2 linked regions of the Rattus norvegicus genome follow. The main gene of each other region encodes a partner of the protein of the gene in region 2 in a complex. Links are inferred from orthologs where the notes say so. Each region holds a gene or a part of one and is shown on either strand. Other genes may lie near its edges.

What was found. The genes of interacting proteins can lie anywhere in the genome.
Region 1: the proteins of Kif13b (region 2) and Adap1 are in contact, whole or in part, in a crystal structure (PDB 3MDB), measured with the Homo sapiens proteins. The link is inferred for Rattus norvegicus from reciprocal best matches to the Homo sapiens genes KIF13B and ADAP1. Residues at the interface, in NP_056069.2 of Homo sapiens: Val451, Asn452, Leu453, Asn454, Ala455, Asp456, Pro457, Leu463, Arg512, Phe514, Asn516, Gly517, Arg531, Leu533, Asn536, Asn537, Phe539; in NP_006860.2 of Homo sapiens: Trp137, Asn143, Gly144, Gln145, Phe146, Leu147, Pro186, Ala187, Lys188, Ile189, Gly190, His191, Pro192, His193, Tyr211, Glu213.

What each region holds. Positions count from the first base shown.
Region 1 is NC_086030.1:20,482,891-20,486,692, forward strand, and holds part of Adap1 (arf-GAP with dual PH domain-containing protein 1), read left to right. Parts: intron 1-427; coding exon 428-574; intron 575-3,802. UniProt on the Homo sapiens protein: GTPase-activating protein for the ADP ribosylation factor family. Binds phosphatidylinositol 3,4,5-trisphosphate (PtdInsP3) and inositol 1,3,4,5-tetrakisphosphate (InsP4). Regulates the incorporation of CD63 and CD9 into multivesicular bodies.
Region 2 is NC_086033.1:43,082,695-43,086,956, forward strand, and holds the start of Kif13b (kinesin-like protein KIF13B), read left to right. Parts: upstream 1-1,364; 5' UTR 1,365-1,425; coding exon 1,426-1,480; intron 1,481-4,262. UniProt on the Homo sapiens protein: Involved in reorganization of the cortical cytoskeleton. Regulates axon formation by promoting the formation of extra axons. May be functionally important for the intracellular trafficking of MAGUKs and associated protein complexes.

The sequences.
Region 1 (3,802 bases), on a different chromosome or scaffold from region 2:
GATGGCGCTAGTCACCCAGTTCCCTGGAGCTGGCCAGGACCACTGAGAGACCTGCCTTGCCTGCAGGTGACCTTGACGGACTGGTCTGGCAACAGTAAACCGTAGCTAGGATTGCGGGGGGTCTTGGTGAGCAGTCCTGGATCACAAGCTCCAGACGCACAGGCAAGCAAGAATTGCGTCAGGACAGGACTAAGAACACGAAGGGTTGCAGATCAGGGGAAGTTTTTACCCAGATACCAAGTGTCGTTTAGTCTCCATCACCCAAGGAAGTAGAAATTTACCTTTCAACTACGGACCAGGAATCTGGGGTGGTTAGAAAGGTTAAGTAACTTGCCTGAGGCTGCACAGCTCGCACAGCAGGTGTACTGCTAGCCTCCTTGTTTGGAGCCTGGTGCTGTCCGGGATTCCCACTAGCCTTCCTTCACAGGCTAAGGAGCCTAAGGCTGTCATGAAGATTGAGCACCTGAATGCCACCTTCCAGCCAGCCAAGATCGGCCACCCCCATGGCCTGCAGGTCACCTACTTGAAGGACAACAGCACTCGCAACATCTTTATCTACCATGAGGATGGCAAGGTGACCTGGGCTGGGCTGGGAACGGTGAACAGTAGCTAGGATCCTGGGGGTCTTGGTAGGCACCACTGTTGGTGGGGAGGGCGAGGCAGTCCACCCCATGGAGGGGCACTAATTCAGTCCTCTGTGCTGCAGCTATCTCTGTATGGGCAGAAGGATAGCCCAGGCAAACACTAGAGCCTATATACTTTCAGTGTGTGTGTGTGTGTGTGTGTGTGTGTGTGTGTGTGTGTGTGTGTGTGTTGGCGTGTGTGTTGCTAAAAGGCCAGGGAAGCTGGAGTTTGGGCTGATCCCTTGGGAAGTTGCCACATGTCTGGTTTGGGCACCATTTGATGGGAAGTTTAATGGTCTCCCACACTCCTGTTCCCCTGTGCCCTCAGGATGTCTTGACTCACGTTGTGTTCAGGGTCTGTGTCCTGTGACTACATAAGACACTAGTGGGATCCAAGCCTCTCTATCCAGTACACGGTCTCAGGATAAACAGACATGTTTGCCTGTAGGGCCAGTGTCCACCCCAGCTCCAGGACTGTCTGGACATCTAGGGACATGGATGGGCTGTTTTGGGCCTCACCTCTTCCTTCCCTGCCTTAATCCAGTCTACGCTGCTTTCTGCTGTGTAACACACCCTGCAGTAGCTTTCTGAGAAGACGTGCCTGGGAGGTGAATGGTCTGAGACTCCCCCCACACGTCTCTCTCTCTCTCTCTCTCTCTCTCTCTCTCTCTCTCTCTCTCTCTCCCTCCCTCTCCCTCTCTCTCTCTCTCTCTCTCTCTCCCTCTCTCTCCCTCTCTTCCTCTCTCCCTTTCTCCCTCCCCCTCTTTTTCTCCTACCCTCCTCTCCCCCCCCCCCCTGGAATTTGACCTCTTGCTCACTGCACTTTTCCCAGCTTGGACCTCTGCTTTCTCATCTAGTGACTCCCGTCCACAAGGCCCGTGGCTATTTTCCTTAATGACTTCTTCCCTCTCTTCTTTCTGGAAGCTTTGGCCTGCAGATGTTATGCTGAGATTTCTCTAACTCATTTATCTTCCTTTGCGCTTCTTTTTCATTCCTTTGGAGTTTTTTGGCATGCCTTTGTGGCACATGTGTGTGTGTGTGTGTGTGTGTGTGTGTGTGTGTGTGTGTGTGTGTGTGTGTTTGTTTTGTTTTTTTCATGTGTGTGGGTACACGGATTTGCAGTCGTGCATGCATTTGTGTGGTGGTGGCCCAAGCTTCATGCTGGGGGTCTTTCTGAATCACTCACCACTTAACTCGTTGAGGAAGGTTCTCTTAGTGGAACCCAGGCTCTCAGCCTGCTTGCCCTGGGGATTATAGAGAAGCCACCTGCAGGCCCCGAGGGACCTAGACGGGCCCAGTTGGGCACATATACATTTCATCTCATGTGCAGCTGGCATGTTGCTCTCCCAGGGCTCCTACCCACTCATGCCAGCTCATCTACTAGCTAGCTTTCAGCCCATGGCTGTTCTCTGTGTCTTGTGGATTTGGATTTTTTTTTTTTTTTTATGAGCACACTGTAGCTGTCTTCAGACAAACCAGAAGAGGGCATCAGATCTCATTACAGATGGTTGTGAGCCACCATGTGGTTGCTGGGAATTGAACTCAGGACCTCTGGAAGAGCAGTCAGTGCTCTTAACCGCTGAACCATCTCCCCAGTCCCCTGAATTTGGGTTTTTAATAAACATCTCTCAAGCATGGGCGGGACATAGTGGCACTTGTTTTTGATTCTAGCTCTTCAGGGCTGGGGAAGCAGAGGCAGGCAGATCTCTATGAGTTTATAGGGCACCCTAGTGGCCAGCCAGGGATACACAGGAAGAAGCTGTCTAACGGGGAAGAGGGTGTCTCAAGCGATGTTAGCTGTTTCCAGAAAGATCTGGCTCAGGGTGTGAGAGGAATCATTTCACCCCAGGCCTCCAACTTCGTGTTTTGTTTTTTTTTTTTCTTTTTTCTTTTTTTCGGAGCTGGGGACCGAACCCAGGGCCTTGCGCTTGCTAGGCAAGTGCTCTACCACTGAGCTAAATCCCCAACACCCAGCTTCGTGTTTTTTAGGAGGACATGAGAGACCTCCTGTTTCTAAGACACTAAGCTCTTCCACAGTGGGGATCCCAGCATGCCTTCTGCTCTCCAAGAACAGCTGTGGTGGGCCACAAGGGTGACATGCTTCACCCTTGAGCACTCTGGGGGAGGGCACAGACATCAGTGGGATAGAAACCACTAGGGGGCACGTGATGGGGAAGATAATGTTCCGGAGAGCACAGGGAGTGTGCAAAGGCCCTGGGGCAGGAGGAAGTGGGATCCCACCCGGGTACAGGTTCTAGAATACTGTGGAGAGTGTCAAGTCCCAGGTCTCACAGCCTTGTGTGTGTGTATGTGTACAGCGTGTGTAAGTGCAGGCACACACATGCCACTTGCTGCATGTGGGTGTCAGGGGACAACCTTGGGTATCGGTCCTCACCTTCTATCCCATTTGAGATGGGGGTCTCTTTGTCTCTCACCACTGCGCATGCCAGTGGGATTACACTGCATGCAGTGGGAGGCCCTTGCACTGGGACTACAGATGTCTGTTTCTACTGCAGCTGGCTTTACATGGGTTCCAGGGATTCAGATTCAGTTCTAAATGCTTTTGCAGACAGCGCCTTACCTTCCGAGCCATCTGCCTAGTTCTACTTTTTTTAATTTTCATTTTTTTTTTTTTTAGACACGAGGTTTCCCACTGGCCTGGATTTAAGTGGTTAAACTAAGTTGGCTGGGTATCAAGTCCCAGGGGATCCTCCTGTCTCCCCCTCCCCAGTGCTGCGATTACAAACTCATGCCCCCACACCAGGCTCTGGGGTATATGTTCTATACCTCACATTTGCAAAGTACATGTCTTACCGACTCAACCAACATCCTAGCCCAGAACCCAATCTGAACTGGGATGGGAGAGCGGTGGGAGGAACCTGGGGCTTGGTAGGGTAGGTGGGAACAATGGATAGGCTCAAGGCTAAGTTCCTAGTGCCCTGGGTCACCCGTAGGGAGAAAGCTGCATTCTCAGAGCCAAGGGTTTGTAAGGGTTGATGCTGGGGTAAGCGTGAGCCATTGCAAACAGCATGAAGGGGATCAGCCACAGGAGGCTTCAGGTCTGTCCCACAACTCAGGGAGGGCAAGAGAGAGGGGAGACTAGGATGGAGAGGTTCAACCAACTTCTTCTGCAGGTGGAGGGATGGGACCAAAGAGGAAGTGGGTAGGACCAGTTGTGA
Region 2 (4,262 bases):
AGAAGCCAGAGTGGGGCTGGGCATTGAAAGCTCCCAGCTCACATCTGTAGTCCCAGTAGTTGGGAGGCTGAGGCAGGAGTTTGTAGCCTAGAGTTGGTTCAGTTTTTTTTTTTTTTTTTTTTTTTCCGGAGCTGGGGACCGAACCCAGAGCCTTGCGCTTGCTAGGCAAGCACTCTACCGCTGAGCTAAATCCCCAACGAGTTGGTTCAGTTTATGGCAATCTTTTTATTTTTTTAAAGATTTATTTATTTTATTTATATGTTAGTACATTGTAGTTCTCTTCAGACACTTCAGAAGAGAGCATCCCATTACAGATGGTTGTGAGCCACCATGTGGTTGCTGGGAATTGAACTTAGGACCTCTGGAAGAGCAGTCAGTGCTCTTAACCGCTGAACCATCTCTCCAGCCCCCAGTTTATGGCAATCTTACTCCTTTAGTTGCTGAGTTCTGGGATTACAGTATGTCCAGTGCCATTCACGTCTGACCTAGTGTTTCTAACATAGTAAGGGTCATTAATGCACCCCCAAATCTGACTTTTGTGTTAGCTAAACAGAACATGTTTGCAGGACAGTCTTGGCACACAAACCGCCAACCAGCAGTCTCTAAGGCTGATAAACAGTATTTATAGGTTGATTTCATTGACTCACACGATAAACATACCAGGGGTTTTCACTGCAGGTTGGGTGACACAGGTTTTGAAATTTGCCTAGTTCTTGTCTCCATTTTACACATTAAAAAAGATGAAATTTGAGCCACCAAATAACTTAACCATGATCACAGGTTGGCAAATGAGTGGGATTTGAGTTAAGTTTGTTTCCATAACCCAACGTTATGACTCAGAGAATGCAGAGGCTGTGGTCAAGGTTGAATGCATCTATTTATCCTGAAGGAAAGGTCAGCAAAGAAACAGAGGGGGACAAGTCAGTCGGAGAAAATCATCCAAGGATCGAACCCAGAGGTTTAAAAAAAAAAAAAAAACAAGAGAAGGTTTTCAGATGAAGGGTCAGCTCTTGTTCACGCTGTGTAGAGCGCTTGCCTGACATTCATAAACCCTAATTTTAATCTCTAGAAAACTCTCCAAAGACAAAAAAAAGGAAGATAGGAAGGAAGAAAGAAAAGAAAGAGGAAGAAGTAAAGTAAGAGAAGGAAAGGAAGGGAGAGGGAAGTGCCTGAACGGCAGCACAGTTATTAAAACGGCGACAGATGACTACAAGTTCCAGAGAGCGACGCGCCTATTTTCCCGCCAGCGCCTCGGCCGGCCTTGTGAGAACTTCAAATCCCGGCATGCCCCGGGGCGCACCGGTCCTCGCCCCTCGTCGGTCCCGCCCCCTTTCCCCACAGCCCCCGCCCGCCGGGTTGGCCTCGGAGAGTTTGTCCGGTGGCCGTGGTAAACGGAGGTGCAGTAAGAACCCCGGCGGCAGCACGATGGGCGACTCCAAAGTGAAAGTGGCGGTACGGGTCCGGCCAATGAACCGACGAGGTGAGAACTTGTCCCGGGCCGGGGGCGACAGGTGCCTGTAGTGGTAGAGCCTTGGCGTCCCGGGGGTCTCGGCGGGCTCCCCTCAGCGCGCGTGCGCCCTCGACGGCGCGGTCGGGCCCTCAGCCCTCCGCCCCGCCAGCTGTCACCGAGCTCGGCAGGCCTGGGGCAGCTCCGGCCTCACAGCCTCCTGTACACGCAGCTCTTAGGGCGGACAGCCCTACTTTTCGATTTTCCACGTTCCATTCCTTGAACCTGCACCTTGTTGCTGTTTGCAGAAAAGGAAGGACGTGCCTTCCTAATTCTTTCTGGTTTATGATTATCGAGAGCTAGCTTTCTTTCTTTCTTTTTTTCTTTTTCTTGAAGTGATAGTCATCTCAACAATAAATAGTCTCGGTGCCAAGATTCTTGGGAAATTGTATCTTTCAGACATGCTCTGAAGTCTGTAGGGAGGGTAGAGAAAGTAGATAAACTCAGGACACGTAAATCATCTCTCCAAGTTGGAAGGACTGAAGCCCAACTTGTGTCCGGAGAGTAGCTGGTTTTTGCCTTTGCAGCTTCACCAGAGGGTGACTGTGTAGGATACTTAAAATGAGGTGATGTGTTTGAAAACACTTTATATACAAGTCTTGTTATTGAGGTGCTGCTGGGCTCCCAGGGGATGGAATTGCAGTTAGTTGATTTAGACTACTGACTAGCTAGAATTGTTTTCTAGGGTTTCTAGTTTGTTTTACTGTGTTTAAAGTCAAGTGTGTAGGAAATAGTTTTTCTGTTTCCCTGCCCTTTGGCGTATATATGGAGGTAAACAGGTGGGACAGTTGACAAAAGATTTTTCTGGTTGGTTGTTCTGTGGGAAAGCTGGTTTCTCTGTTTTCTTGGCGTTGGTTTGCCTACCTGAACGTGCTTAAGTCTATGAGGCATGTTTTTCCCTGAAGACTTAACTTTTTAAGCTCTCAGCTAATTGCCTCCTTGCATCCAGGTTATCACAAAACAGAGTGAGTATCTTAGAAGTCCGAAAGTTTTCAACTCTTCCATTTTCGAGTGTCCAGACATCTTTATTTTGGATCACTTCAAGCTCATTGTGATCATTACTGCGATTAAAAAACAAAAGAGAACAGCCAAGTGAAATCCGACTTATCTGGGACTGATTCGGAAAGGATGGGTTCAGCACATTCTTAAAATTTCCTTTTTGCAAAATACTTGGAAATGTCAGTGCTGAAGGAGGCCTCTAGCCAGCCACCACAGCAGGGCTTGGCACAGATAGTTAGAGCCCAACTCTTCCTTGTTTTCTCTCACTGGGAGGAAGCTACTGCCTTTAATTTGCTATGCTTGTAATTCTTAACAGTGGCTGTTACTATGCTCAGAGTTTCGAGACATTCATTGAATGATTTTAGCTATAGAGTACATGTTAGCTGTTCCTTACATTGAACATTGTCTTCCTTCTTCTCTCCTTCTCTCCTTCCTTTTTTTTTTTTTTGAGACTGGGTCTCCCTACATAGCCCTGGCTGCCCTGGAACTCAGCATGTAGACCAGGCTGGCCTCAAATTCACAGAAATCCACCTGCCTCTGCCCAGATCTTTAGTGCTGGTATTAAAGGCATTCACCACAATGCCTGGCACTTCTTTCTTTCTAAAACAGTGCTAAGGATTGGAACACTGGTCCTCACCTGCATTTTATCCACCGAACCATCTGAGTTCAGCCAGCCAGCCAGGCATCTCCCCAGTCCTGTTTTTCCCCACTTATTTATTTTGAGGTAGTGTCCTCGTGTAGACCAGGGTGGCCTGGAACTTGCAGTCATCTTCCTGCCTCAGCCTCCTGAGTGCATTGCGGGGATGCACCAACCACTGCTGACTGAACTCACTTTAAAATGAATGTTTACAGTTTGGTTCCACTGTTCAGTGACAACTGCCCCCTAGTCTCTTTGCTTCCTCTATCTTGTGTCTCTAGTGTTCATCACAGATCATTTCTTCATCTACAGGTTATTACGAAATTTAATAGCGAGGAACCTTAAAGCTTGTTATTTCTAAGTTGGCATCTTGAATTCCCATGAAAAGGCAGTAACAAAATTGAGCTGCTTTTTGCTGAGTTTGAAAAGAACCCTATTTAAACATTACCTCTTCCGAGGAAAGTGGTATTGTGATAGCATGTGGCTGTCAAGTAGTTGGGTCTAGTTCTGGGTGCTCCTGACTTAGTGTGTGTGTGAGGATTGACATGGTCACTGGGTTGTACTTCCCATCATAGACTCTGTTGTTTGAATGATGTTTGTGTCTTTTGAGGAGTCTGAAGGTTTCCAGAACTCTTCAGTGTAGGGTTCAGTTCTTTGTGTGACTTAGTGGCTGGTTGTGTTTAAGGGGCTTCAGCATTTCTGCTCAACTGTCTGCGGCGGTGGGAACTTAATTGAATATCAAGGGGTAGTTCCTAATTTAATGATAGCTAGAGTTGTAGTGGCTAATTTGTCAAGATAAAGAGAGGGAGGGAGGGAGAAAAGAGAGAGAGAGAGTGAGAGAGAGAGAGAGAGAGAGAGAGTGTGTGTGTGTGTGTGTCTGTGTGTGTGTGTGTCTGTGTGTGTGTGTGTCTGTGTGTCTGTGTCTGTCGGTCTGTAATCTTAGAACTTGGTGGAGGCAGGCAGAAGGATCTCAGTTTGAGGTGAGTCTGGGCTGCGTACATAGTAAAATTTGCTTTTTTTTAGCTAACCAACTAACCTTCCTTCTTCCTGGCCTCTGTTTTTCACCTTTTTTCTTTTGGTGATACTGGAGACTTAACCAGGGCCTTGTATACACTAATG